7 linked regions of the Mus musculus genome follow. The protein of the gene in region 6 binds, or shares a complex with, the protein of the main gene of each other region. Links are inferred from orthologs where the notes say so. Each region holds a gene or a part of one and is shown on either strand. Other genes may lie near its edges.

Evidence for each region.
Region 1: Med25 (region 6) and Med13 share a complex: the UniProt entries of both Homo sapiens proteins name them as parts of the mediator complex. The link is inferred for Mus musculus from reciprocal best matches to the Homo sapiens genes MED25 and MED13.
Region 2: Med25 (region 6) and Med7 share a complex: the UniProt entries of both Homo sapiens proteins name them as parts of the mediator complex. The link is inferred for Mus musculus from reciprocal best matches to the Homo sapiens genes MED25 and MED7.
Region 3: Med25 (region 6) and Med20 share a complex: the UniProt entries of both Homo sapiens proteins name them as parts of the mediator complex. The link is inferred for Mus musculus from reciprocal best matches to the Homo sapiens genes MED25 and MED20.
Region 4: Med25 (region 6) and Med18 share a complex: the UniProt entries of both Homo sapiens proteins name them as parts of the mediator complex. The link is inferred for Mus musculus from reciprocal best matches to the Homo sapiens genes MED25 and MED18.
Region 5: Med25 (region 6) and Med4 share a complex: the UniProt entries of both Homo sapiens proteins name them as parts of the mediator complex. The link is inferred for Mus musculus from reciprocal best matches to the Homo sapiens genes MED25 and MED4.
Region 7: Med25 (region 6) and Med8 share a complex: the UniProt entries of both Homo sapiens proteins name them as parts of the mediator complex. The link is inferred for Mus musculus from reciprocal best matches to the Homo sapiens genes MED25 and MED8.

The regions. Positions count from the first base shown.
Region 1 is NC_000077.6:86,354,393-86,359,148, reverse strand, and holds the start of Med13 (mediator of RNA polymerase II transcription subunit 13), read left to right. Parts: upstream 1-1,552; 5' UTR 1,553-1,623; coding exon 1,624-1,689; intron 1,690-3,640; coding exon 3,641-3,875; intron 3,876-4,756. UniProt on the Homo sapiens protein: Component of the Mediator complex, a coactivator involved in the regulated transcription of nearly all RNA polymerase II-dependent genes.
Region 2 is NC_000077.6:46,435,334-46,440,359, forward strand, and holds the start of Med7 (mediator of RNA polymerase II transcription subunit 7), read left to right. Parts: upstream 1-1,627; 5' UTR 1,628-1,858; exon of another isoform or gene 1,859-1,979; intron 1,980-4,472; 5' UTR 4,473-4,642; intron 4,643-5,026. UniProt on the Homo sapiens protein: Component of the Mediator complex, a coactivator involved in the regulated transcription of nearly all RNA polymerase II-dependent genes.
Region 3 is NC_000083.6:47,621,198-47,625,129, reverse strand, and holds the end of Med20 (mediator of RNA polymerase II transcription subunit 20), read right to left. Parts: exon of another isoform or gene 2,246-3,932; coding exon 2,030-2,245; 3' UTR 879-2,029; downstream 1-878. UniProt on the Homo sapiens protein: Component of the Mediator complex, a coactivator involved in the regulated transcription of nearly all RNA polymerase II-dependent genes.
Region 4 is NC_000070.6:132,457,692-132,461,149, forward strand, and holds the end of Med18 (mediator of RNA polymerase II transcription subunit 18), read right to left. Parts: intron 2,423-3,458; coding exon 1,869-2,422; 3' UTR 1,038-1,868; downstream 1-1,037. UniProt on the Homo sapiens protein: Component of the Mediator complex, a coactivator involved in the regulated transcription of nearly all RNA polymerase II-dependent genes.
Region 5 is NC_000080.6:73,515,643-73,519,406, forward strand, and holds the end of Med4 (mediator of RNA polymerase II transcription subunit 4), read left to right. Parts: intron 1-993; coding exon 994-1,080; intron 1,081-1,564; coding exon 1,565-1,696; intron 1,697-2,251; coding exon 2,252-2,424; 3' UTR 2,425-2,903; downstream 2,904-3,764. UniProt on the Homo sapiens protein: Component of the Mediator complex, a coactivator involved in the regulated transcription of nearly all RNA polymerase II-dependent genes.
Region 6 is NC_000073.6:44,879,071-44,882,915, reverse strand, and holds part of Med25 (mediator of RNA polymerase II transcription subunit 25), read left to right. Parts: intron 1-49; coding exon 50-157; intron 158-1,804; coding exon 1,805-1,993; intron 1,994-2,277; coding exon 2,278-2,349; intron 2,350-2,445; coding exon 2,446-2,664; intron 2,665-2,811; coding exon 2,812-2,989; intron 2,990-3,401; coding exon of another isoform or gene 3,402-3,499; exon of another isoform or gene 3,500-3,845. UniProt on the Homo sapiens protein: Component of the Mediator complex, a coactivator involved in the regulated transcription of nearly all RNA polymerase II-dependent genes.
Region 7 is NC_000070.6:118,407,415-118,412,392, forward strand, and holds the start of Med8 (mediator of RNA polymerase II transcription subunit 8), read left to right. Parts: upstream 1-1,922; 5' UTR 1,923-1,966; coding exon 1,967-1,972; exon of another isoform or gene 1,973-2,135; intron 2,136-3,470; coding exon 3,471-3,589; intron 3,590-4,111; coding exon of another isoform or gene 4,112-4,159; intron 4,160-4,243; coding exon 4,244-4,388; intron 4,389-4,937; coding exon 4,938-4,978. Other genes in the region: KICSTOR complex protein SZT2, read right to left, coding at 1,749-1,775. UniProt on the Homo sapiens protein: Component of the Mediator complex, a coactivator involved in the regulated transcription of nearly all RNA polymerase II-dependent genes.

The sequences.
Region 1 (4,756 bases), on a different chromosome or scaffold from region 6:
TTTTCAAATATCAAGTACCTACTGTGTGCTAGAACATTTTAAGGCACTGGACAGCTATAGCAACAAAGGGTCAGTTCTCCTGATTCTCACTCTCAGAGTTCACGTGTTTCTCAAAGTAACCACAGAAAGGAAGGATGGAAGTATAGTAATGCATGCCTTACACTGCTTATCGGGCGCAGGCACGAGGCTAGTGCTCAGGTTGTATTCATGCATCATATAACAAACATAACATTTGTTTTCCTCATTTTACAGATGAGGAAACTGAGTCACAAAGAGGTAAAAGACTGGCTCCAGCTTCGAATCCTGAACAGCAGGACTTTATTTCTAGTTCATTAACCACAAGACCATATCGTTTCATTTTTTTTACCTCTTTATTATAACTTAAAAAGAGAGGGCGAGGCTGGTGTCTATCCAGCTCTCATTCTTTAGCCCTAGAGTTCTGCGATGTACCCCGGCGGCCTTATGGAGTGAATGAGAATGCATTGGAACGTCTTTCTTTTTCTTTTCTTTTTTCTTTTTCTCTCTCTCTCTCTCTTTTTTTTTTTTTTTTGCCAACTTTCTCTTCCAAAGAATTTGAACTGATTTCCAAGTAATTCTCGATTTTGAAGTGAACCTTCCTGCGCTGCTGCACTTTCCCCAGCCAGCAGAAAGCTAGGGCCAAGACTCGGGTCATCTTAACCGGGGCATCCAGCAGATGGCGCCATGTTAGTAGCCACCAGCTGGCCGCCCGGTCCCCGGGGCTCCGAAAGCTTCCCTGCCCTCCCTCACCGCCTTCTCTCTCCCCCCTCCCTACGGAGCCCGGCCCACGTGACCTCGCGGCGGCCAATGGGCGAGCAGAGAGGGCGAGCTGGTCCCTGTGGCCGCCATTAAAGCGAAGGGAAAACCCGTGAATTCGGATTAAAGGGGGAAAAACACCGCCCGCTGGGCCCACAAAATGGGGGAGACTACGGCGTCCAGGCGGTGAGGCGGCAGGAGAGCAGACGTTAGGCAGGCTTGGCCCAGGGACAACACGAGGACACAGCCGGAGAATGGACTGAGCCCACAGACGCCGCCACCACCTCCGCCGCTGAGGAGACTCTGGGCTTAAGGACATCGCCGCTGCCGGGCCGGGGGCCCGGGGTGCTCTGCCGGTCCTCGCCCTTCCCGCCCCTCCGCGGGCGTCCCCGGGCCGCGGAGAACCCTCCCGGGCTTCTGGGCTCGGCCCGCTCGGACTCGGGCTCTGACTATTTATCGTGTACCTGATTGTTATTATTATTTTTTTGTTTTTCGTTTTTTTTTCTCTTTTCTTCTTTTAAATCTTTTTTTATTTTTCTGGTGGAAGGGACAGACATCCCTTCCCCTCCTCTCCGGAGAGGGACGCGCGTCCGCGGGCTCCGCAGTCCCGGCGGCCGGCCGAGCGCGGCGCGGCCCTCCCGCCTGCGGCCTCGGCCCCGGGCGGCTGGGTGCCTCCGGGCGGCGGGGGCCGCGGCGGCGCCGGGGGGCGGCGGGGAGGGCGGGCGGCCCGGCGGCCTCCTCCCCACCGCCCCCCGCCCTCCCCGGTGTCTGTGTTTCTCTCTCTGGTCGGAGGCGGCGGTAATGGCGGATGGTGGGTTGTGGCGCCGGCGGCGGCTGCTGTGAGGGACGATGAGTTCCTCCTTCGTGTCGAACGGGGCCAGCCTGGAAGATTGTCACTGTAACCTCTTCTGCCTGGTGAGTGCGGGGGCCGCGGGCGGTGGGGGAGGGGGCCGCGCCGTGCGCCCTTGGGCCGTGGGGGAGGGGGTCTGGGTCGCATCCAGATGCCGGTGTCCCCCGGCTAGGCCCCGCCGGAGTCGGCCTCCTCCGAGGCTCTGCGGCCGCCCCGGGAGGCAGCGTCCGCTCACCTACCGACCGGGGCTCTGCTGGGAAGAGGCTTGTCTTTCCCCCCACCCCCTCGGTCTTTCTCCTCCTCCTGTCTTGTTTTGGACTCTTTTCCCCATCCTAGTCTTTTCCTTAACTTGGGCTGCTTATCTGCCCGGATAGTAATATTTTCTTGTGTGCTTCTTGCTTCCCCGCCTCCCCGCCCCCCGCCCCTTGTATCGAACAGTGTATCCCTTTTCCACACTTTCCACGATTGCCCCTGCTCGACTGCCTTTAAGCTCGCTTTTCCCTTGTAAGTGGGCTTCTCTTAAACAGGACCCCCCCAAAAACTTACGTATTAAAACCCTCTTCGTTTTGTAAGTTAAACTAATACAGGGGTAGTGTCCTTATGGGTGACTTCAGATCTTTGTGTAAAAACAGTGTGTGCCGGTTCATATGTTTTCTTTTTAAACTTTGAAAACATTTTGCCATTTTGACAATTTCTAGCCATCTTGCTTTTATTAGAACATTATGTTTTTGTGAGAGTGGAGGGGCAAGTGGAGGAGGTACTGTGGTTTCGCACTAAACGTTCTATATTTGTCTGTTTTGCTTACGTTTTAAGAATGTTTTGAGCTGGCTGTTCCTTTTATTGAACTGAAAAGTCTGGGGCAGCTGGAATTAGGGATGTTCTAGTACGTGTATGTAGGTCGGCCCAAATCGGATAACACTCAAGAGTTAAGACTTTTGTCAAAAGTACCAACTGTTGCAAATATCTAGTCCTGAATTAAACGATAGCCGAGCTTCCTGAATGACTAAGTTAGAGTGACTTTTTTCATTTTTCGTGTGCTCTGAGAAATATTAAGTCTATCATAGGTAAGTGAATTAAGTGGGTGGAGCATAACTAGTTGGCAAGCATAAACTGCCAGTCATGTATCAGCAGTTTCATTTTTGGCACCTTATGCTTTCTGTCACTAAGTTAGAATAAGGAATTACTGAATTTCCTTTGTTGAATCTCTTTCACGATGTGGTAAATGGGGATCTTCAGCACACTTACGTCTTACAGATTAGACTGGTTTTCTTGACATGTCCATTAATCAGCATCTCGTCACATGTAGTAAGATGTACAGCAGGTTTAACGTTTCTGTCTTCCCCAACTGGATCTATTTTTGGCACTTTGGGTTTTTTTTTTTTTTTTTTTTTTTGAAGCTAGATTAGCACAAATCTGACAGCTCTTTGGAAGTGGTTCTTTCCTTGGAGCTGTGTGCTTGTGGAGAATTAACAGGCTTTTTTTTTTTTTCCTTAAGAAAAAAAAAATTCAGATGGTTTTCGTATTAGAGCCATGACTTCTTACAAACCTGGAATGAGAGTCTTTACTTTCCAGTTCACCAAGGATCAAATGTGACTGACAGAGAGGACTGTAGGACAGAGGAGGAGGCTAGACTTACTGTGCAGGCTTAGCATCATTGTCTCATTGGTCAGCTCTGGATATGTTGCATTTATTGTAGACTTGCTACTCAGTGACATCTTTGATAATTTATGTAACAGTTTTGTGTTCTTTTCCTTAAGCTCTTGTTGGTTGAAACATTAGAATTCTTTGCTGTGGTGTTTTTGGTTTGTTTGGTTGTTTATTTTGGTCATATCTTTAGGTACTTAAGCATGCATTAAAAATAGTGATGTTTTAATGAAATCAAGGACTTTATAGTGAATATATATTTTATATATAAATATATAAATAGTATACTTATATTATTATACTTAATAACAAATATTTATTACTTAGAGTGAATGAACAATAATATAGATATTTTGCTTTCTTTTCCTTCAGGCCGACTTGACAGGAATTAAGTGGAAAAGATATGTATGGCAAGGCCCAACTTCCGCCCCTATTCTGTTTCCGGTGACAGAAGAAGACCCCATTTTGAGCAGTTTTAGTCGATGCCTTAAGGCAGATGTACTTGGTGTTTGGCGGCGAGATCAAAGACCTGGAAGAAGAGAATTGTGGATATTTTGGTGGGGTAAAGATCCCAATTTTGCTGACCTTATTCACCATGACTTATCAGGTGAAAGCACTTTATCCTTTTTAACTGTGCCTTAGCAATGTTGTACACTTTCCCAATGTGCTTCTGCTGTGGTGGACGGCCTTGTCAGCCTGGATCTGTAAGAGGGTTGCCATGCTCTGTTTCACCATCTTTGTTTTGGTTTCCTTAAGTTACCTGTGTAGATTCCAGGAGACTTGAACTCTGACTGAGTTTCTTCCTCTACCTCCCGGCTTCTTTCTGTAATTTCTCACAGGCAGTTTGTATCTAGGGAAAGCATTTTCATTAACCTGAGAAAAATGGAATCTGGAAGCATGTTATTTTTACAGTTATATAATAGTCTTGAAGCCAAGTGTAACTCACCTTTGAGTCTAGTTTGCTGTGTTCTTTTTTGTCTGACCCCGTGGGCAGGCCTAGAAATGTAACTTTGTTTGGCATAGATTTTCAAAAGTATAGTTGTATTTTAATATTATTTATGATTATGTATTAACTCGGGGAGGCATATGCTGTTTTTGGGGGGTGGGGGGTGGGAGGGTCTTTAGACCCTGCTTCGTCAAAGGGTATATTAGTAAGGACAAGGGCCATCTCATTAACTTTTAAAGGACAAAGGTCATTATCTGAAAGGTTGTACAGAAACGGTTTATTATGAGCACATCAATATTTCTTTTTTTTTTATTTTCTTGACTTTTAGGGCCAAATATACTTTAGAAAGAAACTATAGCCCTTTATGAAAATTACTGGTTATGTTTATTTTAAACTCAGTGTAAGTGTATCTTTGACTAGATACTCTCGGAGGGAACCAAGTTCTAGTTTGATAAGAGTTTTGACAGCTAAATTGAAAATTTTTAAGGTCTTTAAAATTTTCTGTGTGAGCAGGGAGTGTAGGTGTGGGTGTAGATATGTGT
Region 2 (5,026 bases), on a different chromosome or scaffold from region 6:
TCTGTTTTTACCCTCCATGCACTGAGGTTACATTTGGGTCTTTAACATTCAGATCTTGCAAGTACAGTCAATAATAGACAAAACAAAGTATTCATTAAACTGTATTTTTAACCAGTCCCTAACATGACATGGCTATCCCTTATGTAGTACTGGGGTTGTCTTATATGTATTATTCTAGGCAAGCTCTCCACCCATGAACTTATCTTTGGGTGATGGCTAATCTTTAGAAGCAGAAAGACTGAGTGGCATTTTCTTGTGGCTGCCCAGATAAAAGGACATGAAGAAAGGAAACTGCTCTTTGGTTGCTTGCTCTAACACTCACTGGCAACTTCATCTGTACCACTGCTGTGCCATTCCTTTGCCAGTATTAGAACCAAACTTCTTTGGGATTCCAACATGGACTGAAGACCTGTGGCTCTCCAGGAATCTTCCAGGTCTCCAATGCCAGGTGGGGGTCTGTTGAGACATCCAGCCTCTTAGACTGAGCAACTACAGGATTCTCAGCCTTTCAGGGCTGAGACAGCCATTGCTGGACTACTTGAACTGCATCTTGTAAGTCACTCGGATAAGTCATATATACATATATATCCATGTGCATACACACATTCATTCTATCAGTGTAATAACCCCTAGTACACTTTCAGTAAGATAATAAATCTGTGGGTATAGGAAAAAACGAAGAGCCCTTACCTTTTAGAGGTTCATACCAGACTAGAGACAAAATGATGGGGCTCATATAACTATGGAAGTTGGTAGTGAGTAGACTCTTCTTTTGTTTTTATGCCTGCAATGCTCCACATATTTAAAGGAAGAAACTGAGACATTCTTGTTTGTGAAGCAGAGCTGTTTATCTTACTTTTAGTTTGCAACACTGCATCTTACGACTCCCATATCATCTGTTAACAACTCTTCTCTCTCTCCTCCCTCCCCCTCCTCCTCTCCCTCAGGGAAAGGCCAAAATGGAAATATTTCTTGCTAGTCCTGATGGCTCATTTCTATACCTCTGGCTTTCCAGAGGCTGGGAAGAGACATCTGAAGCCAGCCTGGGCTACACAGTGAAATTACCCACTCCCTCCATTTTAAAAAATTATATTAAGTTTTTTTCACTTGTCAATTTGTGGAAGGATTGTTATAGACATCTTTGAATTCCTAAATGAAAATAAAAGTGAATGGAAGGGGGAAAATGAAGGTTTAGGATGTTATTCTTAATCATGTTCACAAATATCTCCATATATATGAATATATCATAGAGTACAATCTTGCTTTTAAAAAACATTTTTGATGATTACATTAGTATAATTTTTAAATATATTGCTTATCTGTATTTTCTGACTTTTACATAAGGCAAGTATTTAATTTTAAAAGTCTCGTATAAAAGTGGGGGCTGCAAGGAATGGAATTACTAGAGAGTACTTTCTTCTACTAACAAAAAGTACGAAGAAGTATTCTCCTGACCTGACCAAGAAACCAGACAGCGGATCTTTCCCGAGAGAAGCAGGAGATGCGAAAGTGCGCATGTGCAACATCTTTAGGGCGGGAGTAGGACCTGCTATAGGACAGCCTTGGTAGCCAATGAGAGGCCCGCGTCAGAGGCTTCTTCCTGAGAAGGCAACCGGAACTTGTGCTTCCGCTGCGCTGAGGAAAAGTCACTACCGGAAAAGCAAGAAAGAGCTGAGGTGAGCGGGCGGCGGCGGTTGGCGACCGCAGCCTAAGTCTGTCTCTCCGCCCCCGCGGTTGCGTCTCTCCCGGCGTGGAGCGCCGAAGTCCGGCGCGGGACAGCCTGGGACGCCCGGGCTAGCCTTCCTCCCGGTTCCTCCGCGAAGCCTCCCCGGGGCCTGAGGCAGGCGGCCGGCCGAAGGTACACCGAGTACCGCTCTCTCCGGACGACAAGCCAGACGGGAGGTTGGGAGGTCCGAGTTCTCGTCCCCACGCCACGGGCTTTTATAATGTCGTGGTCTTAGCCTGCCCTGTCGCCATTGGTAAAGTGACAGTAGCCGCCTGGGAGCGCGGGGGCTGGGGGAGGGGAGCGAGAGCCTGGGTCGGAGCCGGATTCATCCTGTACCAGACTTTCCGCGGGGACCCAGTCACGGGGACAAAGTGAGCCAAGTGTCTGAGCTTGCGGACCCCCCCCCTCCCAAAAAAAAAAGCACCCACGAGACACTGGATCTTGTTAGTGTTAGCGAGTCACGACCTCCAGCGGCTTTGAAAAGTTCAGTTTGAACCGGTAATGGGCGGTTTCTGTAAGGTGGCCCGCTCTAACGCGGGATGCCCAAGTTACGGGGGTTTGCACTTGCGCCCGAAAAAACTAATGCGGATTCCCGTTGTACAATTCACCCCCTTCTGCACGTTGGGAATTGGCTTCTTGTCTCTATAGTCAAATTGGGAGTAGTCGTACCGTCCTGATGATTGGAGTGAGGATGCGGATCTGTCACTTACTAAAAACCTTCGGGAAACTGCGGGTTTAGTGTGGGTGTGGCTAAGGGAAGCGCAGATCCCCAACTTCAAAAGCCTTCGGGGGATGAAATTTAGGCCAGGTGTTGACTTGAAGTGGCTACAAGTAGACTTTCGTGTTCTAGGTATATACACCCTGAATTAGCTCTAACAGTTAGACAATCTGAAGAATTTGGAGTTGCTTCCCTCAGATTTAAGGTATTGGCAGTGTACATCAGTGTGAGAAAGCACTCAAGAATCTTCTCATTGTATAATGTACTTAAATTGGAAAAAGCAAAGGTTATTTTGACCATATATGTTGGGATTTAGGTTTTAAATTTATGTAGAAAAGATGTAAAAATTGCTAATGTGTTAAGAAAACTGTACTATACTAACTCTACTATACTGTAAGATGTGGCTTCCTTCAGAAACCTTGGAAAATATTTGAAATATGAAATTTAACAACGGTGTTTTGTTATAGTTGTTTGTTTGTTTGTTTTTTTGAGACAGAATTTCTCTGCGTAGCCTTGGCTGTCCTGGAACTCACTCTGTAGACCAGGCTGGCCTCGAACTCAGAAATTCACCTGCCTCTGCCTCCCAAGTGCTGGGATTAAAGGCGTGCGCCACCACTGCCCAGCAACAATGGTGATTTTTGTCAAGATGTAAAGAGAGTTTTAAGTGTTTGGGTTTGGAGACCACTGTACAGTAAAAAGGAAAGTGAACGACATGAGATTAATAGATACCATATGTAGTTTGATTATGGGAAAGAATAATAAATAAGGCATATGACATTTGCATATAAATGTTCTTTTCCAGAGTAGGTTCCAACATATGCCTACCAAAAGGAGTCAGACATGAAAAAATAGTATATCATGTACCATATAAAAGCACCCTAAATACAGACCCTTTTTCCTTAGTTCTCAGAATATGTTTGTTCTTTGAGAATTTTATACACACACACACAAACACACATGTGTTTTGATCATACCCGCTTCCACACTCCTCTAATACCTCACAGACCACTACCATATCTTACTCCCACTTTTATATATTTTAAAAATATTTACTTAGTTTTTAAAGATGGATCTTTAGCACCGGCTGGCCCAGCCTCACTGTGTAGTCCAAACTGGCCTTGAACTTAGAGCTATCGAGCTTCTCAGTCACAGGGACTACAGCATGACCCATCATGACTACAGCGGGAACCATCATGCCCAGTTTAGGTCTTTTTAAAAAAATGTTTAAAAATAACAGTAAATAAAGTCCTCTGCCAAACCTGTGGTGGACTCTGCTGCTTGTTTTTCCACTTTGTATGCTTTACATTTGTCAGATTACCTAGAATATGTGAGTCCTTAGTGCTAGCATCCTTTTCTAAACAAGCAGAGCAGATCTTACTTCACCATCACGTGAAGTCTGGCAGGCAGCAAGAGTGCTCTTTAACAGGTGAGAAAGACTTGAAGAGATCAAAAAAATAGTAGGGTTTCTAAGTGATACTGTTTTGTGTTCTCAGAATTTCCTTCATAGACAAAGTTTGCATATCTCGACTTGGGTGTATAGTTAGAGATATTAGGGCAACAAGGCTCTCACTTCTGTTATCTTCACTGCAATAAACATAACAATTCAGCATTTTTAAGTCTGATTCAGTTAAACAAACTATCTGATAAAAACCTGCAGTCGTGGGTGAATACAGTTAAGAGTCAGGACACAGCAGGCCGTAGGACCAGAGCAGTATTGTGAAGAAGTCATGGTACCTGGGAGTCAGTGACTAAGTAGTTTAAACGGTGATTCTGCAGTAAAAATGACCTTGCCATTGTCCACTGTGAGTTACAGAACCTGTCTTTACACTTGAATGTTAGAATCATAATTGTGGTGCTATCACAAAGTAGACAAAGGGCAAACCTTTTGGAAGGCAGAGTCTTTGGTGTGCAACTTTCTGTACCTTCCTTGCTCTATCCCATTAGCCTAACAAGGAAGTTTTTTTGTTTTTTGTTCTCCCCCCCACCGTCAGATCTTCATAAAGCTTTGCTTTATTTTCTCTTTGCCAGGATCATCTGTCCCTATCGGGTGAGTTAGCACACCTGTTGTCTTGGGTGGTCAACACGTTCTCAATTTTCAAGGTGTATTTCCTATCAGGAAACTTGAAGATAATATGGTCTGAACCCACAGTGAACTTCTGAACATCGTAGTTGTGTTGATCAGGCTGCTCTGGTCTTAGGTTGGTACTTTTTTCTCTCATCAGTGAAGTTTCATGACACAGTAACAAATGTCACAAGACCCTCTCCCTCCCTCACACCCTGCCCTGCTCTTCTCCCCCCCCCCCCCCCAGTATACTTTGCCCGGTCTGTTTTTGAGAAATTGACAAGTCTTCCGTGCTCTGGAAGGATTGTTTTGTTTTTGTCATTACTGGTATTGTGGGTGCCTGTCTTCCACTGAAATGTGGCCTATATCTGAAGATTTTTCCCGCAAGCCCCAGTAGATAGAGAGCTAATGTGGGCTGTCCCAGCTTCCATTTCCCTCAGACATTCTCTATAGAGGAAAAAGATGTAGCTTTTGTTTTATTAACTACTGTTGAAAACCCTGAGGAAATAAAGGAAAATAC
Region 3 (3,932 bases), on a different chromosome or scaffold from region 6:
TCAAGTTTGATCTCATGTTTAAAGCCAGTCAACTGTGAGCTCAAATGGAAAAGAACAAGAACGAAGGGACTGAAGGGACAGCTCAGTGTCAGTGGTTAAGAATGCTTGCTGCTAGCCGGGCGTGGCTGCGCAAGCCTTTAATCCCAGCACTCCGGAGGCAGGGGCAAGCAGATTTCTGAGTTCAAGGCCAGCCTGATCTACAAAGTGAGTTCCAGGACAGCCAGGGCTATACAGAGAAACCCTGTCTCGAAAAGAAAAAAGAAAAAAAAAAAATGCTTGCTGCTCTTTCAGAGGACCTGACTCCATTCCCAGCACCCAAATATACCTATGACACAATATCCAGAGGAGCTGATGCCCTCTTCTGGCCTCTATGGGTACCGCACACTCAAGCACACACCCCTGCCCTACCCCCAACACACACACACACACACACACACACACACACACACACACACACACACACACACACACGCTTAAAACAAAATCTTTTTTTTTTTTTTTTAAATCAAGATTGCTGCCGGGTGTGGTGGTGCACGCCTTTAATCCCAGCACTTGGGAGGCAGAGGCAGGCGGATTTCTGAGCTCGAGGCCAGCCTGGTCTACAAAGTGAGTTCCAGGACAGCCATACAGAGAAACCCTGTTTCGAAAACCCAACCCTCCCTTCCCAAAAAAATCAATTGCTGGGAATGCAAAGAAGGCAACTACAGCTAACAGGATGCTAGATTGTTTATGCTTCTCTTCATCTTTAGAAGCTGAGAGGAGCTGAGAGTCCACATTTACCACTTAATTAAATTAACGTCTGCGTTTTCAGGCAGCCAGTACAAAGCAGAGTAGACAGACTGCAACAAGACCAAATACAGACCAGAAGGCCAAAACGCTAATGCTGGTAAAACTTTATTACGATATGTAAAACACCTCAGGTTTACGGAACAACAGTAAATGACTAACAACCAAAGCAAGAGGAAGCAACAGGAGCAACCGGATAACTGAGCCACAGCAGGAAGGCGTGATGAGCTGTCCTGCCAGCTAAAGCTAGGAGACAAGAATGACCAGTACCTCAGAGCCACTACCCAGATGCGCTGGCAAGTCTGCCTAGCTGTGCTCTGAGGACAGGATCCTAACTGACAGCCTACACTTTGTAGATTAACAGCTTTCCCGAGCCTGTCTTTGTGTTAAATGTCTCTGTAGTAGGTGAGGCAGGTAAGTAATAGTGTCAGTGAATTCAAGGCTCAAGCAAGATAAGACAACCTAGGAGGCACCCTGAAAAACCTGAGTGTTGAGTGTCAGGAACATGTGTCCACAGTGCTTTGAGCAACTCTGAAAACCATCCCTCTCAATCTCGCTCTCCTCAGTGGACTGTGGGTGCAGAGCTACTGAGCATCCTGTAGGAAGGAAAGCATTTTGGGACAGTATGATATAAGGAACAGTAAGACATAGGAAGCCAAGTTCCTGGTAACGCTGTGGAGTTCATGTTGCCCTGGGAACTGAATGCCTGTGAACTATTAATGAAAAATAAACTGTGCAGTAAGAGTCCTCTGCTTTTGGTTCTGCTACAGCGGCCTGGCCTACAGGGTCACAGAATTTAAAACAGTATGAGAAGACATCAGTGTCCAAAGAATGAAAGCGACACTCTAGCAGCCAACAATCCAGTCCTGCCACCTAACCATCTCCAGGAGAGGCCAGCCGCATCCTCAAGCGAAGGGGAGCCCCATACAGCACAGGCGTCCAGCCGATAACAAACCCTCAGCACCTGGGACACACACAGCTCCAGTGCCAACAGCGACAACCCTGTCCTACCTTTTGCCCTACAGCTTTTCCATTCTCCACAGTTACCATTCTTGAGGACCAGCCAAATCCAGTTAAAGCATGAAGTAAAAACCAGCTGTGATGGGCTCAGGAGGGAAGTCCAAAGCCCCGGAACACAAGCTACAGCTGGGAACCAGCTGGGCCAGGGGCCCAGGACCGAGTCCAGCACGTGGGCCTGGGCATTACCCTGGTGACAACTCAGCAGGTGGGCAGCTGCCAGTCACTAACGGATCCCAGCCACTGGCACTTGCTGCTGTTTTCGGATCTTGTTGAAGAGTTCCATGTACTGTATCATGGTATCTGCTGGCCCATAGACCGCATCGTGTCTGTTCCCAAATACTGTGGGTGCCCCTGGTGCGTGGCTCCCTAGAAAACTCTGTAGGAACTCAAGCAGGAGGCTCCAGCAGTCACTAGCCACCACACAAGGGCCATACTCCACCTGGGACAAGAGAACAGATAGCCAGGGTAAGGACAAGGACAAGCTTGCTTTCCTCCCTCCTGCTGCTGCTGCGATCCTTCAGTCACAAGGTGAAACCATTACAGTGTTGGCTTGGGAGCCTCCAAGCAGAAAAGAAACTGGCACTAGGGTCCTTTTCCCTACCTGCGATGCTTCCCAGGCTCCTTCCTATGGCTTTTACTTTGTGACAGGATCTAACAGTGCAGCTCAAGCCAGCCTAAACCTCACAATCCTCTGGCCTCCATCTCTGAGGTGCTGAGACAGTAAGCATGCACCAGCACTTCCCGCCTTGGACTCCTTATTGCTCTACAGGTTCCCATTACAGTCAGCAAGACTCTCAACAGCCTGATTTCCTAAGCCTAATGCCTTTCTAAACTCACTTCAAAAGTTTGTGTTTCAGCACAAAGTCTGAGGGCTGAAGGGTAGCAGACATTGCCACAGCCGCCAACACGCAGCTTGAGTGCCCCGCACCGCCTTTCGTGGAAGTCTGAGCCATCTGTAGAGCTTTCCTCCTTGTTCCTGCAGTCATGTCCAGGAACAAGAATGCTAACTTACCAGCTGCCCGACTTAACAGATTCAAGAACAGGGGAAGGACAGTACAGAAATGCGTCGCCGCCGAGTAGAAGTTAATGTGGAACTCAGGAAAGCTAAAAACGATGAGCAGATGCTGAAAAGGAGAAACATCAGCTCCTTTCCTTCTCTGCACCAGGAAAACCCGAACAACCAGGGGACTGTAAATTGGTCTGTGAGGACACTGTTAAAGGCATAAACAGTAACAATTTGGAAAGCCAGCTCTAAGCTACTCAAGCTGCCTGGAAATTGCTTTCTAGAGAGAAACAGCCTCCTATAGACAACATCATCCGGGCTGGTTTGATCCCAAAACTTGTGTCCTTCTTGGGCAAAACTGATTGTAGTCCCATTCAGTTTGAGTCTGCTTGGACACTCACCAACATTGCTTCTGGAACATCTGAACAGACCAAAGCTGTGGTGGATGGAGGTGCTATCCCAGCGTTTCTTTCTCTCTTGGCATCTCCCCATGCTCACATCAGCGAGCAGCTGTATGGGCTCTTGGAAACATTGCAGGTGATGGGTCAGCTTTCTGAGACTTAGTTATCAAACACGGTGCGATTGACCCACTGTTGGCACTTCTTGCAGTTCCCGATCTGTCATCCTTGGCATGTGGTCACTTAATCTTACCTGGAGGCTTTCAAACCTCTATCGAAACAAGAACCCTGCGCCTCCCTTAGACGCCATTGAGCAGATTCTTCCTACTTTAGTTCAACTCCTGCACCACCATGACCCAGAAGTACTAGCAGATTCCTGCTGGGCCATTTCCTCCCTGACTGATGGTCCAAAGCAGCGCATTGAGATGGTTGTGAAGAAAGGAGTTGTTCCCCAACTTGTGAAGCTTCTAGGAGCCACTGAACTGCCCACTGTGACTCCCGCTCTAAGACCCAAAGGGAATACTGTCACTGGAACAGATGAGCAGACTCAGAAAGTGATAGATGCAGGAGCACTTGCAGTCTTTCCCAGCCTGCTAACAAACCCCAAAACTAATATTCAGAAGGAGGCCACATGGACCATTACATTACATTACAGCTGGACACCAGGAACCAGATACAGCAAGTAGTGAATCACGGCCTAGTCCCCTTTCTTGTTGGTGTCCTCT
Region 4 (3,458 bases), on a different chromosome or scaffold from region 6:
CAGCTGGAGGCAGTGACTGGCTTTTGCTAACCCTGCTGCTGCAGGGAGGGTGGAAAGAAGAAAGCTAAGGGGCCCCTGGCTGGTGTCTAGATGAAACTGAGCTGCAGGCTGTGAGAGATCTCATCTGGAAAGGAAAGGTGGATAAAGGAGCTTGCTGCCAGGCCGGACAACCTGAGTTCCACACTCAGGCCCCGGATGGTGAAAATACAGAACTGCTGGAAGCTGGCCTCTGATCCCATGTGCACAGAAGCACATGCACACGTGAGACCTAAAGAAATAACTGTAATCTAAAACAGAAGGTAGATGAGCCAACAGTAAATTTCACTAAGGCTGTTGGTAGGATCCTGGGTAAGACTCCTATAAAAAAGAAAGTGGACTGAAAGTTTTCCTGGCAGAAAAAGAAAAAAAAAGAAAAAGAAAAAGAGAAGGAGAAGGAGAAAAAGTATCTGACTTTTCAAATCTAAGACTATGAGCCTTTTGTCTTTCTTCTCTGTGTAGCCTTGGCTGTCTTGGAACTTGCACTGTAGACCACAGGTCTGCCTGCCTCTGCCTCCTGAGTGCCAGGACTAATGTTAATGGCATGCACCACCAGCACATGGCCCTTTTCTTGCCTGAACATGTCTGTGTACTGAGTGTGTGCCTGGTGCCTGTGTACTTCAAAAGAGAGCATCCAATCACCTAGAACTGGACTCCTACGGAAGGTTGTCAGCACTCAAGGATGTGTTGGAATTAAGCCTGGTCCTCTCTGCAGGAGCAGCCAGTGCTCTTTAGCAGCTAAGCCACCTCTCCATCACCAGCTACTTGAATGTTTTTGATTACATTTGTGTGTGGGTGTGCACACATGTGGGTGCAGGACTCAACCAATCCTGTGGAGAAACAGGACGGCAACAGGCAGGAGTCGGTTCTTTCTTTCTCCCATGTGGGTCCTGGAGAGGCCCCCACAGCATACACAATAACAACAATAGTAAGACAGAACTATAGCAATATAGAAGTAGACTAGGAAGGAGTTAAGACGAGTAAGAATCAGAATCACAACTGAGTCTTTTCAGTCTTTATTACCACACAATGCTGGCTCACACCACCATTGTAAACCTTGTATATCAATGGCAAAACAACACAATTTAAAACATATGAAGAAAACAACAAATAAATAAAGGAATAAAAAATGTTTCTCTAAAAAAAACAAAAAAAAAACAAAAAAAAAAAAACAAACAGCCGGGCTTGCGTGTTATCGCACGCCTTTAATTCCAGTACTCGGGAGGCAGAGGCAGGTGGATTTCTGAGTTTGAGGCCAGCCTGGTCTACAAAGTGAGTTCCAGGGCAGCCAAAGCAACACAGAGAAACCCTGTCTTGTATTGAAAAACAAAACAAACAAACAAACAAACAAACAAACAAAAAACAAAAAAAAAAAACAAAAAAGAAAAGAAAAGAAGAGAAAAAAGAAAAAAAAAGCAAAATATTATGAGTTGTTTTTTGACCTTTCCTCTGAAAAGCTAATTTATTCCAGTTCCCTCTTTTTGAGTGGAGGGAGGACTTGAACAAATCTCCATATTATCCTGGGTCTTTCATTGGAAAAGCCTATCAAGAAGATGAACAGTCAGGTTTAATAAGGACCTTGCAGGCACTTAGGCGGGAAGTACAGGGTCCTGAGTTCCAGGGTAGCTAGTTTATGTAGTGAATTCCATGGTAAAACCCTGTTGCAAGAAAAAAGAGACATTACCAAGTGAAGGAAACAGTTGAAAGGAACCAGGTCTCGCCATCATCTTCTGGAAGGAAGTGGGCCCGGCTGGCAGCAGTACCTGGGCTACTTTCGAAGTCTCTCACCTCCCAGGTGGGGACAGGCCTAAAAGGCCGACAAACTTTCTTCATCACATCAGCCTTTTGGGGTCTATTTTTTCCAGGTGAACCAGAGGTTTGAGCTGCTCTGCAAAGTTCCTCATGTCATCAGAGACCATGTCCTGCCCAGCCGGGGCGACAACACTTAATTCCACAAGATAGGAGAGGGACAGGGCCTCGGTGCTGTCCGTGTTCCCTGGGACCAGGATTCGGAAAATCTTGTACACCACAACCTTCATGATGCCCTTCCGAAACAGGTGTCCTTTGGCGACAAACTCATGGTCCATGCGGAAGCCCATCTCCATCAGGAAGTCCGTGAGGTTCTCAGACGTGGCGATGTCCACACAGTTGCGCACCAGGGCGTGGCGGTTCTTGTCTCCCATTTCGGGCTGTCCCAGGTATCGCAGATGCCAGGGTGCCCCTGCCCTGTCCATGGAGCGCCGGGCCCTTAGGACGAACGGGCTGGCCTGCTGGCCCTTAAGCAGGAAGACCATCTCGTGATCAAGGAAGGTCTCAGGCTCCATGTTGTCACACAAACCTCGGAGGCGATGGATGAGGCTTTCCAAACTGTGGTCCAAAACACTTCCTGAAGAGGCACAAGCACAGTGAGTCCCGGCTTTCATTTCATTTAGGGTCATGAAACCAGCGAAAGATACACACACCAAATAAATAGTTCTATGCAACGTTTTCTAAGAACAATCCATGGGATTCTATTTATTTGTCTATTCAAAACGTTTTATATTTAGTCATTCTTGTCTCGGCAAACTCGAGAATACAATGGCACATAAATGTTGGTTGGAGGATAACCCGCTAGAACGGATTCCCTGTGGGTCCCAGATTGAACCCAGGTTGTCTGACTTAGCAGCAAATGCCGGGTAGTGGTTTGCATGACAGTAGCCCCCACAGCTCCTGGATTTGAATGTCTAGTCTCTACTTCCTATTGTTTAGGGAAGGACTAGGAGGAACGTCCTTGTTGGAGGAGGTGTGTCAGTGGGAGTTTTCAAAAGCGGGCCCCCATCTTTCTGTCAGTGGCTCAGGCTGTAGCTCTCAGCTACTGCTCCAGCACCTGCCTGCCTTAATGGGATGAAAGGGGTGTTATCACCATGCCCGGCTTCTTGTTCTGAAGTATAATTATATGAAAAAGAAAATCTGAATTTGTTCTACAAATGGAAAAATTGCATTGGCTATAAATAAATCATTGTGGCTGGGTGTAGATCTGTGAGAGACCATGTGCTCCAGATGCAAGGCCTTGCTGGGGTTTGATCAAGGCACCAAGAGGACCAAGGCTGAGGGATGGAGCTTAACGGCTGAGGACTGACACAGAAGGCTCGGGGTTCAATTCCTAGCACTATAAAATAATAAAATTAAACAACAACAAAGATTAAATAAGATTAAACAGTTATTTAACTGAGCCAGGCATGCAGGCACTCAGGAGTCTGAGGCAATAGAGTCGCTGCAAGACTGGGGCTGGGAAAACCACTCAGAGGTAAAGAGTTTGTACTGCTCTTGCAGAGGCCAGAGTTCAATCCCATCCACATCAAGTGGCTCACAACCTGTAACTCCAACTCCAAGGATCCCAGCACCTCCTGCCTCGCATGCATGTACCATCCCCTGAAACACAT
Region 5 (3,764 bases), on a different chromosome or scaffold from region 6:
TGAAGAGGGTACACGTAGCTCACAACCCTCCGTTAGTTTATAACCAATGAGAGAAGCGGATGGGGCTTTATCTCAGGTGTATAGTGAGGACACTGGTTTACAGAAGTGTTGAGAAAGAAGGAGAAGCAAAATTGAAGTTGGATCTTGAATGCTAGGAGGAAACAATGTTGGGAACCACACAGCTAAACTGAGAAGGAAACACTAGAGTCAGAGACCATCAGCTAGTACACTGTGCCTGCCTGCCTGCCTGCCTGCCTGCCTCCTGCCCACTTAAAAGCCTTACATGGTCTAGTTGGTCTTTATACCAAGAGTGAAATTACAGCTGTTTCACTTTAATACTTTGTGCATTTGGTTTACATTTAGCCATTTCTCCATCTCTGATTTGTTCTCTGCTTGCCAGTATGGAGTCTATTTTCTGATTGTTACATTCAGGAAAACAGCTCATATTCTCTGAGAGACGGGTGGGCTTCTGTAGCAGAAGCAAGTCTCTAGGAGAGGAGGCTGAGTCCATTGCTCAGGGGTGGTTAGAACTCCTTAGTGCTTTTTGAAACAGGTCTAAAATTTATAGAATGGAAAGCTATGACTGTCTGGCGCACAATCTGCTAGAGCCTCTTCCTTGGGAGTCACACAGAGGCTGCAGACTGTAGGGTCAGCAGCTTGGATGCTGCTGGAATGAAAAGCGCTCCCCTTGGTTTACTGTCCCTCACTGTGGCATTCAGAAGACTCTGCACTTGATGGCGGCTAGTAATCGAGATGACTGAGCATTATCACGCTGGCCTTAAATTTACGTTAGCCGACTTTGCTGGGTGGGTATCTTGGTTCCAAGGTTCAGAAATGTATTTATAACAGTTTTTGTGTATGTGCAGGTGTTTGGGAGATGGACAGCTTAGATGATCCTATTTCCTGATAGTTTGAAATTAAATATGGTGTGTGTATGTATGCTCTTCTAAACTTGTGTTTAATGATCTGAACTGTTCTATTTTCTCAACTCAGGTGCTATCTCCTCTGAAGAAATCATTAAATATGCGCACAGGATTAGTGCAAGCAATGCTGTCTGTGCTCCACTGACTTGGGTTCCAGGTAACAGAGCTTCTTACATCAGATGAATGCAGGTTTGAAAGGACTGAGGTATCTAAATAAGATCATTTAACGTAGAATGTACTCATCTAGAGTAACATCTGCTAACAAAGGCATTTTCTTCAGTGTTGGAAGGAATGTCAGGTGTTACCCTCTTCTACCCTTCTACCCTTACTGTGTAGCCCTGGCTGTCCGGGGACTCATTTTGTAGACCAGGCTGGCCTGGGAAGAGAAGTCAGAGTTCTGCCTCACTCTGCCTTAAAGGTACGTGCCACCGTGCCCAGCTTAAGGATTTCCACTGTAGCTTCAGGCAGTGTGTGGCAGTATATACTGCAAAGGCAGGTACTGAAGAGGCCGAGGCAGGACTGCAGGCTTGAGGCTCACAAAGCACTTGCGTCTTTTAGTGTGAACTAAGGGCAGCTCATTCTTCAAGAACATATAAATGCTTTTTGAAAGCCTGAGTTAAAAGCTGTCTTTACTGTTTTAGGAGACCCTCGGAGGCCATACCCAACCGATTTAGAGATGAGAAGTGGATTGTTGGGTCAGATGAACAATCCTTCCACCAGTGGTGTGAATGGTCACCTCCCGGGAGATGCCCTTGCAGCAGGTAGACTGCCAGGTAATGCCAACTGGATGGGTGTTTTTAAGCAGACAGAGGTGCCCGTGAGGCACTGTCTGGTAGTGGACATCAAGATCTGTTACACAGGTTCCCTGCCAGTTTGTCATCCAAAGACCCTGCAGTGATGCACAGGACACTGACCTAAGCCCCTATGTCCCTCATGTGCATCTATTTCCTGGCACCCTCCCCAGGCCTGGCCTTCCCCTGTCGTGACCACTCTGAAGAGCATTTTTGCAGTTGAGAGGCATGCCCCCAAATAGAATAAGCACATTTTGTAGGTGCTGTGTTTTAATGTGGAAGAACCTTCCTAAGGAGAGGACATAGTGGGGACTGTGCTTTCTGAAGCCCATTGTAGCCATGGGCCACACTGTGTTAAAGTGTGGATTTGGGAATCTGCTTATTTGTGTTTAGCATTGCGAATCCCTAACCTTGTTAGATCCTTGGTACTACAAGGTAGGTGGGTGGGTAGATAGAATTAAGGTACTTGCATAGAGGGAGGGGATTTGAGTAGGCTGATCACAAGTAGGACTAATCCCATGTGCCTCTTTTCTCCAGATGTCCTTGCTCCGCAGTACCCATGGCAGTCAAATGACATGTCTGTGAACATGCTGCCACCAAATCACAGCAGTGACTTTCTGTTGGAGCCTCCTGGGCACAACAAAGAAAATGAAGATGATGTTGAGGTTATGTCAACAGACTCTTCGAGCAGCAGTAGCGACTCTGACTGAGAAAGGTGTGGCATGCACAGACTCCAGTGCGGCAGAGTTCTGTCAAGGGGGAAAGAAAAGCACAGACCTAAGGAGCCCATGAAAATCAGCGGGTTTTCTTCCTAGAGCCCGAGCCCCTGGTTTTCTATCTGTTACACAATGTTTGAGGATTAGTCAGAATTACTGTAGTGTTTGGTTGTACATAGCAGCCCTGGCATGAGACTGAAGAGGAACTCACACAACTCATGGAGCATACTTAGAAAGAGCACTGAGCCAGACGTGGTGGCTCACACCTATAGTCCCAGCACCTGGGAGGCTGAGGGATTGCTGTGAGTGTCGGGCCGCCTTGAGCTACAGAATGAGCTGAGCCACCAGGGTAACAGAGATAAGAACAGGCATCGGAGCGCTGTGTGATACTTCAGAAGTGCTCACTTGAACAACTCAATATATATATGTGGTAAATACTGTAATTTGTGTAAATAAACTTGGTTTTGTTTGTATTTAATTTTTTTCAATTTTTTAAAAAATATTTTTAAAATTTAGGTACACCTTCAGTGTAGGAAGGAAACATTTAAATCCAGTTGAATTTGAGCTGGGCAGTGGTGGCACATGCCTTTAATCCAGCACTCAGGAGGCAGAGGTAGGTAGGCAGATCTGAGTTTGGGGCCAACTTTGTCTACAAAGCAAGTTCTAGGAGTACAGAGAAACCCTGTCTGGGGAAAAAAAATCCAGATGTATTTTATAATAAAATAAGATTCTGGTATATATGATACAGTATATACAATAAAATGACTATCTTAACTCATAGTCACAATTAAGTCTCTGAGATCATTAAGTTGAAACTGAAAACATTTATTACAACCCCATACTACACAGACACATACACACAGGATAAGGAAAGTTAGAATAGATGGCCATCTCATGCCATCACCTTGTCTCCTTGTGACTTTTCTCATCTTTTACAGGACTGGGTCTCCCTGCTTGTATAAGGTACCTAGGTTAGTCTGGGACTTGCAGCCACCTGCCTTGGCCTCTTACTGTAGTTTCTCAAAAAACAGTCACTTTTAACTCTTTAGCTACCTCGTAGTTAACATCTGTGTCCACGATGTTTATATAAGTATCAGTTTTAGATAGTTATATAATAACTATCACAGAACATTTAAGAAACAGCATAAACCACAAAGTGAACCTGGCCATCTACTCTTGAGTACCCGTTAACATTCTGAAATAGATTCTTACTTAAATCCCACATGTTCCAGGCATGGTGGCACATGCCCGGTACCTGTGTGGCAGAGGCAGGTGATGTCTTAGGAGTACTAGGCCAGCTGGTGTTGATGCTGGGTTCTAAGGACAAGCAGCAA
Region 6 (3,845 bases):
GATGCTTCCCCTCTGTGTGTTGCCCCACGTGATACCTGTATGCTTCCAGACCACCCTGGGTCCGCTGTTCCGGAACTCAAGAATGGTTCAGTTCCACTTCACCAACAAGGACCTGGAGTCCCTCAAAGGCCTCTACCGCATCATGGGCAATGGCTTTGTGAGTGCACTAACTCCTGTCCCCTTCTCTGCCAACTTGGTGAGGGCCCCGGGGACCCAGCCCCAGGAGCTGCTGATCCTCGCACCCTGTGCCTTATTGTGGCACTGCAGATAGAACCTCGTCCTTGCTTAAGTACATGTGTCCTAGGGCCCACTGAGTCCCTGAGATAAGACATACTGTGTAGCAACACCTCCACGTGGACGTCCTGCTGCCCCAGGCTCCCTTGGGTTGCCTTTGTAGGCTTGTGCAGTGGAGCCTGACTTCTCTGCCCCTCTTGTTTTCTGTTGGATAGGGCCTGCCCTTGCAACTCATCTGACCTGTTGTAGGGGCATCTCCCGAATCGTCTCAGCTTCCTGGGTGCCAGTGGGTTGAAATTAGTGTCTGGGGAGACACAGCGCCCGTGTACGTGGTTGAGGCACGGTGACTTCTTGTTTGTTTGTTTGGTTTTTGAGACAGGGTTTCTCTGTGTAGCCCTGGCTGTCCTGGAACTCACTTTGTAGACCAGGCTGGCCTTGAACTCAGAAATTCGCCTGCCTCTGCCTCCCGAGTGCTGGGATTAAAGGCATGCGCCACCACGCCCGGCCCCGGCACAGTGACTTCTGTGCCTGCTTTTTCCCAGGCAGAGTACTGTTGGTCATCAGCCTCACAGCCCTTCTCACCTGTACTCTCTTTTGTGGGTGGGGGTCAAGCACTTGGGGATCCTGCTGGGGCTGTCATCTGGCTGCTCAGCAGGTCCCAGGTCCTTGGTGGTGGGCTCATCGGTGCAGATGATGGATTCTGAGTTAATGTTTCCAGAGGGTAACAGGAACTGGTGTTCTTGTTGTAGAACAGGACCCAGCAGGGAGCCCAGTGATGCCATGCCTAGACTGTAGGTACAGAACAGAACCTGAGCTTCTGGGCAACCTTGAAGCATGTGGAAGAGGCAATGGCTGAATCTCCTTCTTCAGAAAATGAGAAATGTCCACAACTTCTGGCCAGGCCTCCTTTAATCTGGGCCAGAGTTGGGTTGCTAGGCTGCACCCCCTGTAGGGGAGGGCATTCACCAGCTCACCGGCTCCACTGGCACCACCCTGTTCTGTACTGGACAGTGTGAGCAGCAGCTGCAGGCCGAGCAAACCCAGGTCCTGAGAAGGAAACCATGGTAGCCAAAGCCAGTCCCCTGAGAGTCTGAGGGGGCACCTTGACTCCCGAAATGGCTGCCTTGTGATGTTGCTGTCCCTGGTCCATGCTCGTGGACATTGGCAGAGAGATAGAGCCACCCTTAAAGGTCTTACTCCATCTTTTCTGGCATCCTCCCCAGCAGACCCCTTTCCAGTGTGATTGGGGGAGGCCGTCCAGCGCTGTGCTGAAGTGAGACAAGGAGGTGGAGGCGCTCAGTCAGGGTCACCGTGGGTTTCTGATGTGACCTGCTGTCTTTCCTTCTTAGTGGCCAGCGGGTGCTTCGATCTTGCTGTGCCCTTTGACTACCGGGTTCACTGCTTACACTCAGTTTCTGTCTTCTGGGGCAGATGCCAAGCAGACCTGCCCACCTTGGCATTATGCAGAGAGATCTCCTTACCTCTTGCCCACAGGGCTTGTAGAGTGTTATGTGAGGAGGGATATCTGGGAGCCCCCTGGTGGGCAGGTCCTGAGAGTCTCTGTCCACAGGCGGGCTGCGTGCATTTCCCGCACACGGCCCCATGCGAGGTGCGCGTGCTTATGCTCCTGTACTCGTCTAAGAAGAAGATCTTCATGGGCCTCATCCCCTACGACCAGAGCGGCTTCGTCAATGGCATCCGCCAGGTCATCACCAACCACAAGCAGGTCCAGCAGCAGAAGCTGGAGCAACAGCGCGGGGTGAGTGTGGAGCCAGGCCAGCTGGTCACCATGGCCTCCTGTCTCCAGAGATCTTGCCTGAGTCCCATGTCCCCTGTGTCCTAGCAGAGCAGTCTTAGTCCCTTTTCAGTATCCACTTCAGATTCCTGATGCAGGACCCACCTTACAGCCAGGCAGGGTGTGGCACACCTCCTTGATGGTTTGCCCCCAGAAAACGGCAGCCTGCTTCTACACACCGGGTCTCCCCGACAGGACAGGGTCAGTCACCGTCCCTCATCTGACTTGTCCTCTCTGTCCCCGTGCAGATGGGGGCACAGCAGGCACCTCCAGTCCTGGGCCCCATTCTGGAGGAGCAAGCGAGGCCCCCGCAGAATCTAGTGAGGACTCGGGTGGGGACTGGTGGGGTTGGGGATGGAGGTGGGTGGACTTGGGGCGGCCACCCTACTGTCCTTCTTCATGCCTCTGTTCCCCAGCTACAGCTCCGTGCACCACAGCCTCAGCCTCAGGGTGCCGTGGGAGCTTCTGCGGCTACAGGGCAGCCCCAGCCCCAAGGTGCTACCCAGGCCCCCACAGGCGCACCTCAAGGTCCTCCTGGAGCAGCCCCTGGCCCACCTCCTTCTGGACCCATCCTGCGGCCCCAGAACCCTGGGGCCAACCCCCAGCTGCGGAGCCTTCTCCTTAACCCAGCACCGGTGAGACTTGGGATTAAAGAAGCAGGGAATTGCAGGTTCTGACCCAGTATCTCTGGGAGGAAGTAGTGGGCTGGACAAGGCTCCCAGGGCGGTGGACCTTCCCGGATTTTACACTAGGCCCTCTGAGTCATTCTTTGTCTTCCTTAGCCCCAGACTGGGGTGCCCCCGCCCCAGGCCTCCCTACACCACCTACAGCCTCCAGGGGCCCCTACATTGCTGCCACCACATCAGAGCATGGGGCAGCCCCAGCTGGGGCCGCAGCTCCTGCATCCTCCACCTGCCCAGTCATGGCCCACACAGCTTCCCCAGCGGGCGCCACTGCCAGGTAAGGGTGCTCCAGGGGAGGATAGGGGTCTAGAGTGGGAGTCCCTGAAGCCACTGGTAAGGACCCTATTACCAAAGGGCCTCCCGTAGCTCAAGGGGACATTGGGAAGTTCAGCTATAAGAGCAAGACCTCTTGTGGTGGGTGAAAAATTCCCACAATCCTTACCTTCTGATCCTGGGGTGCTGGAAGATATCTTAGGGTCAGTGAAGCTACACGTGTGGGGGAAGGGCTCCCGAAGGGTCAAAGGAAAGTGTCTGCATTCAGCGGGGCTTAGAAGGACTTCTGGCGTTCCATGGAGCTTCCTAGAAACCTTACTGCCTTGGGTTCCCAGAGGAAGTGGGATGAGAGGCCCAGGGTCCTCAGTGGCCCCAGGGACCACTGGGAGATGCAGTCCCTTCCCGCTGCCCCCCAGGTCAGATGCTGCTGAGCGGGGGTCCCAGGGGCCCGGTCCCCCAGCCGGGCCTGCAGCCCAGCGTCATGGAGGACGACATCCTCATGGACCTCATCTGAACCCAACACCCAATAAAGTTCCTTTTAACAATGCCCGGCTCCCGTGACTGACGCCCCGAGGGCTGTCTTTGCTCTCGCCTTGCAGACTCCCCAAGGCCCCGGCTGGGTGATGCTGGGCCCTGGGATGAGTTGGAGGCAGCATGGTGGGCCTGGTTCTGGGAGACTTGGAGCAGGTGGGCAGGAAGTGTACAGCTCATGTGCACTCAAGGGGTTAGAGCCCAGAATGCCTCTGACCCAGCCAGGGTTCCGAGGAGCCTGGAAGGAGAAGCAGAAATTGGGAGCCAGAAGGACCTAGGTGTAGATAGCCAAAGCCACAGCGCAGGGCCAGCAGGGCCAGCAGGTGGAC
Region 7 (4,978 bases), on a different chromosome or scaffold from region 6:
TATCACTGATTACGATCGTCGCTGAGGCCCACATACACCGATGCCAAGCTGGATAGTGATGCCAGGCACTGTGTTGCCACTCCCACCCACCCACCAGAGTTTCTTCCTGCTTCTTTAAGACTAAAGACCAAATTATTCTCTTGAGCTTTTTCTAAACCATGTGCTTTCTTCCCACAAAATAACGTCGATACCTCTGCCTCCTAACTATCCGAAGCCTGCCAGCATGATAAACCTTAACCTCTGGCATAACTGCGAGCTGAGCCTTCTCTTTCCCAGTCTCAGCCCCATCACCCACCACTATGGTAAAAGCAGGCCCTTCAGTGTTAAAGGCACCTTGGGGCAAATACTGGCTCTGCATGTTTCTCCATTCCTGAACAGGGAAAGCAAGAATGACAATTTCCTGAGGATTCTACCTGTGTTAGATACTTAGAGAACTTAAACTTCCTGGATCCCACCCATTTGTGGAAGGAGGTTAAATGCCCCACTAAATGTGACACTTCACTTACGCCTCTGCAACACCTATTATAATCCAATGTTCATTTAGTCCCCACAGCTAAGGAGTCTCTGTTTTACCCTCTGCATCCACCCTAACCCTCAGCACAATTCTGGTTGCAGAACAGCACTTGCTTCTTCCTCTCTTTTGGGAGCCTAGCCTCTCTAAACATCACCCTTTCTTCTTGGTATTCTGTTTCTACCCTATTCACTCATAGGGTTTTCATGTGTGTAGTTTATCACATCCTCCCCATACACGGGTGTGTGTACTCATACATTATACATATATAAGATCACACCCGTGTCAGAGTGCACGTGTGCAGGTCAGAGGACAACTTGTAGCTGTAGAGCGAGCTCACCTACCTGGGAGTTCTAGCCCCAATACTAGCTGCACAACTATGCTTCTTTTAATAGTGGCACCTCAGTTTCCTGAAAAGAGGGATGATAATGGTGTTTGCCTTATAGGGTTGAAAGAACTGGTAACAGTAAAGAGCTCAGAATTGTGGCTGGCATACAGTAAGAATTCGACAAGTAGCCATTGCTATTTGTATCGTTACGCACATGCATCAACCTTCCCTCCTACAAGGCTATCCCTCTGGGGTCCTGGACACGCTAGCCAAATTTGGTACCTCCTCGGATCCGCTCGTTCAGTTGGAAGGAGTAGTCCTAAGGTATCTTTGCATGGCATGACACCTCACCTGCTCTGACTTCAGTTGTCTGCTCTGTACATGACAATAAATACTGCCAGATTCCCTGCTGGAGTCTGAATGTCAAAACATACATATAGGGTTCTTTGCATCTAGGGGGTGGGGGGTGGGGTGGGGGGGCGGGTGCCTCGTCTGCCTTTTCTGCCTTAACTTGTGATCCCCAAGCCACATCACAGAACAAATACTTTTATAAAGAAGGAAGCAGGGTCTGTCCTAAGTTAAGACTGGCCAGAGGGTTGTAGGGCTTTGCCAAGAGCACGAACGCTAGAGCGAAATCAACTCATGCTATTGATTGCATTCCAATAGATGAGATACAAAAAACCCCGCAAAGTCGGTCAGCTTCGGCGTGGCACAATGAAAATCCCAACTAATAACCAAAACACGAGTTTTTATCAGCATCACTATCGCTAACAAGTCTGTGGATGGGCGACGAAGATCAGGATGGCATCTGAGTAAACAAAACAGCAACGGCCTCCTTGAGGCTCCGGAGGGTGAAGGCTGCCACACGCCCGCCCTCGGGCCTCGGCCCCGCGCCCGCCCATCCCTCACCTCTGGCTCGGGGCGCTCCGAGGCCATCACACAGCCCTCCCGCGCCGGCCCGGGCCAGGGAGGTTGCTCCACTCCTGACCTCTGACCCGGCTAGTTCTGTACCGGGCAGGAACCGGAAGTTGTTGGGATGGTCCCGTTTTGAGTTTTCTGATTGGTGAGCGCAGCAAGCCGTGCGAGAAACCGGAAAGGGAAGTGGTTGCGCCCGCCGGGCCGCGGCAATGCAGGTGAGAAGCGGGTTGGGCCTTATAGCCGCTGGCGGGAGGGTGATTGGGCTGAGGACACCGGGGAGTTGGGGCTGTGAGCGGAGGGCAGAGGAAAGGCAGCGGAGCCAGAGAGAGCGAGGCCAGCTGCGGGAGGCGCGGGCATCGAGCCCGCTGATGTGAGAAGGTCGGAGGCCCGGGGAGGAAAGGCGGACTTGATTGAGCGTGGAAAAGGATCGTGGTGGCATTTGGGAAGGCTCGGGAAAGTAGTGGGCTGCCGCACGCCTCGATCTAGGCTGTTGGACACAGGCGTCATAAGGCTTCAGAAGGCTAAAGGGATCGTGGGCCTCCAAGGATGAAAACTAAGCTGTTTGTAATTCGAGGCTGTGGGTGGAACCCGGTGTCCAACCCCCTCAGTCACATAGTCAGGTTTGCAAATCAGCTTTGCATCATTCTTCCCGGCTTGTACCTCGTTGCTAAGGGCGGAGAAGTGGGGTAAATAGTCCTCAGATAGTCAAACGGAAACCCTCTGCCGCCTCAGCGTTTAAAATTGTCTAACACTCAGAAACAATGTGCAGGTTTCCTCGCCTTTGTCTTTCATTACTCTTTCATTACTCACTTGGCTTGTTGCATCTGATAAACCTACACTGTTTATGGGTCACCCGAATTATGAAAGAGACACGGGAATATTGGCACAAAGATGCACGTTGACTTTCCAAAGCACCAAATGCTATGGATAAACGGCCAGTTGGGGGACCGGGAAGGGGATTGCAGAGCTGGTATTCAGAGAAAACCTTACAGAGAGGCAACGTGTGAGATTGTCCAGATTGTGTGGTTGACAGTAGCTACACTCACAAGAGGATGACCAGAGGCACCCATGATATAATGAACTTCGGGAATTATTTAGGCTGTGTGTGCAGATAGCACCCCTGTTATCATGGCAAACCTTTCTGAGGTGAACTGAACTTCCTGAAAAAAACAAAACAAAACTGTGTCAATGCCAACACCACAGAGTGACACGAGGGATTCTCATCCACCCAAGGAAAGCAGCGCAGTGACAATAAGCAGTCGTGAGGTAGGCAGGCCACATCTATTTTCCAGAAGAGGAACTGACAAAGAAGAGTGTGCAGAAACCTGAGCACGTTCCTATTAACCCTACTGCAAATCTAAGAGAATGTTGTCTACTGGGAGAGGCAGTGTTTGAGAGCTGGGAGGAGGAGAGCATGGAATTAAAAAGGTGCAAGGCTAAGTGAGTTCGAAGCCAGTTTTGTTACAAAGACAAATCATGAGGTTTCAAGCCAAAGAGAATTAGGTCTGGTGCAATGACCTTCTTGAAGGACCACAGTGTAGGAGGGTTATAGAGGAATCAGTTAGTAGGAGGACTTCAGGCCAGGTGAACAGGTTGAAAGGTCTAAGGGTTGATGCTATCTGTAACCCAAATACCAAGATAGAAAACAATTTAGCTTTTCTGAATGTGTCACGCTCACTTGTATCTGAGTAACCAAACACACTGTTGATGCAGAGGGAGGAGAAGCAGCTTGAGGCATCATTAGATGCCCTGCTGAATCAAGTGGCCGATCTGAAGAATTCACTGGGGAGTTTCATTTACAAGTTGGAAAACGAGTATGACCGGCTGACCTGGTAAGGATTGCCAGGACAAGCTGGGGAGGGATCCATGGGTGGTGGGGCCAAGCCCCCTGGCTGACAGGACATCTCCAGCGATGTACCCATTTATCAACTTGCAAATATCCTTTTTGATTTGGAAAGAACTAGGTTGCCCAACATTGACAAGTTTAGTTTGGCTTAAAGCCTCCATGGCAAGGAAGTAGAAAAATGTCCAGTTTCCCAACCTAGGCTGTTTCTAGGTTTTAATTCTTACGCTTTGGCTTCCTTAGTGAGGAGGCATTTCCTCAGTGGAAGACCATTATAGCTCCATTTATGGTGGCTCTCCTTCCACACATGAGGCTGGATCTGAGATCCAGCCTTCTGGAATGATAGAGTCTGTTACTACATTAGGGAGGAGGCTTTACAGACTTACTACAGTGTAACCACAGCCCCTGTTTCCACTGCTCCCAAACCCAGTCAAACAGTGGGTTGCCTTTTTTCTGTATCTATGTCAAAAATTGAAAGTGTGTTCCTCTTTCCCAATTCCATCTCTACTAGCAAATCTGGTTCTTGCCTATGCCAGACACAGGGCTGCGAGTCTTCGGGGTGAGTCTGAGTGTTGCAGCATTAGGACTTTTAGAGGTTACTTTGTAGGGAGAAGTAACTCTGGTGACTTCTCGCCACCTCCAGGCCCTCTGTCCTGGACAGCTTTGCATTGCTTTCTGGACAGTTGAACACTCTGAACAAGGTCTTAAAGCATGAGAAGACGCCACTGTTCCGAAACCAGGTCATCATCCCTCTGGTGCTGTCCCCAGACCGAGACGAAGACCTCATGGTAAGACACACAGTATCTTGTTGACTGGATCCTCTGTGTGGCCATGAAAGGTGAGGGCTGCCGTCTGGAAGACTTGTTTTTATCCTTCTGGGGTCAGGAGAGTCCCCCTTAAAGAATGAAGTGAAAATCAGGGCCTATCTCACCAAGTCCACGACCTTCCTTTTCCAACATCTATGTCAGGCAAAAAGAAAAAAGTCTGTCCTGCTTGCCTGTGACTTTGCTGCAGTCTTTAAAATGTGGGGTTGAGAATTTAGCTCAGTGGTAGAACAGACACAAAGTCCTGGGTCCCCAGAATAGGGGTGGAGGTAGAGATTCACAAAAGACCAAAACAAAACAGCAAAAAAAGACAATTTCAGTGTGGTAGTGGAGGGTGGGATTTAGCTCACCCTAGTTCTGATGGAGTGAGTGAGTGAAAAGAGAGTGTCACAGAAAGCTATCCCTACCTCCGGTTGTGTTGTCTCTGGAAATGCGTTTTCTGATGGAAGGGAAGTGGGGTTAGAACTGGCCTACTTGGATAGCACAATAGGATGAATCCAATCTATATTACAGCGTCAAACTGAAGGACGAGTGCCTGTTTTCAGCCATGAGGT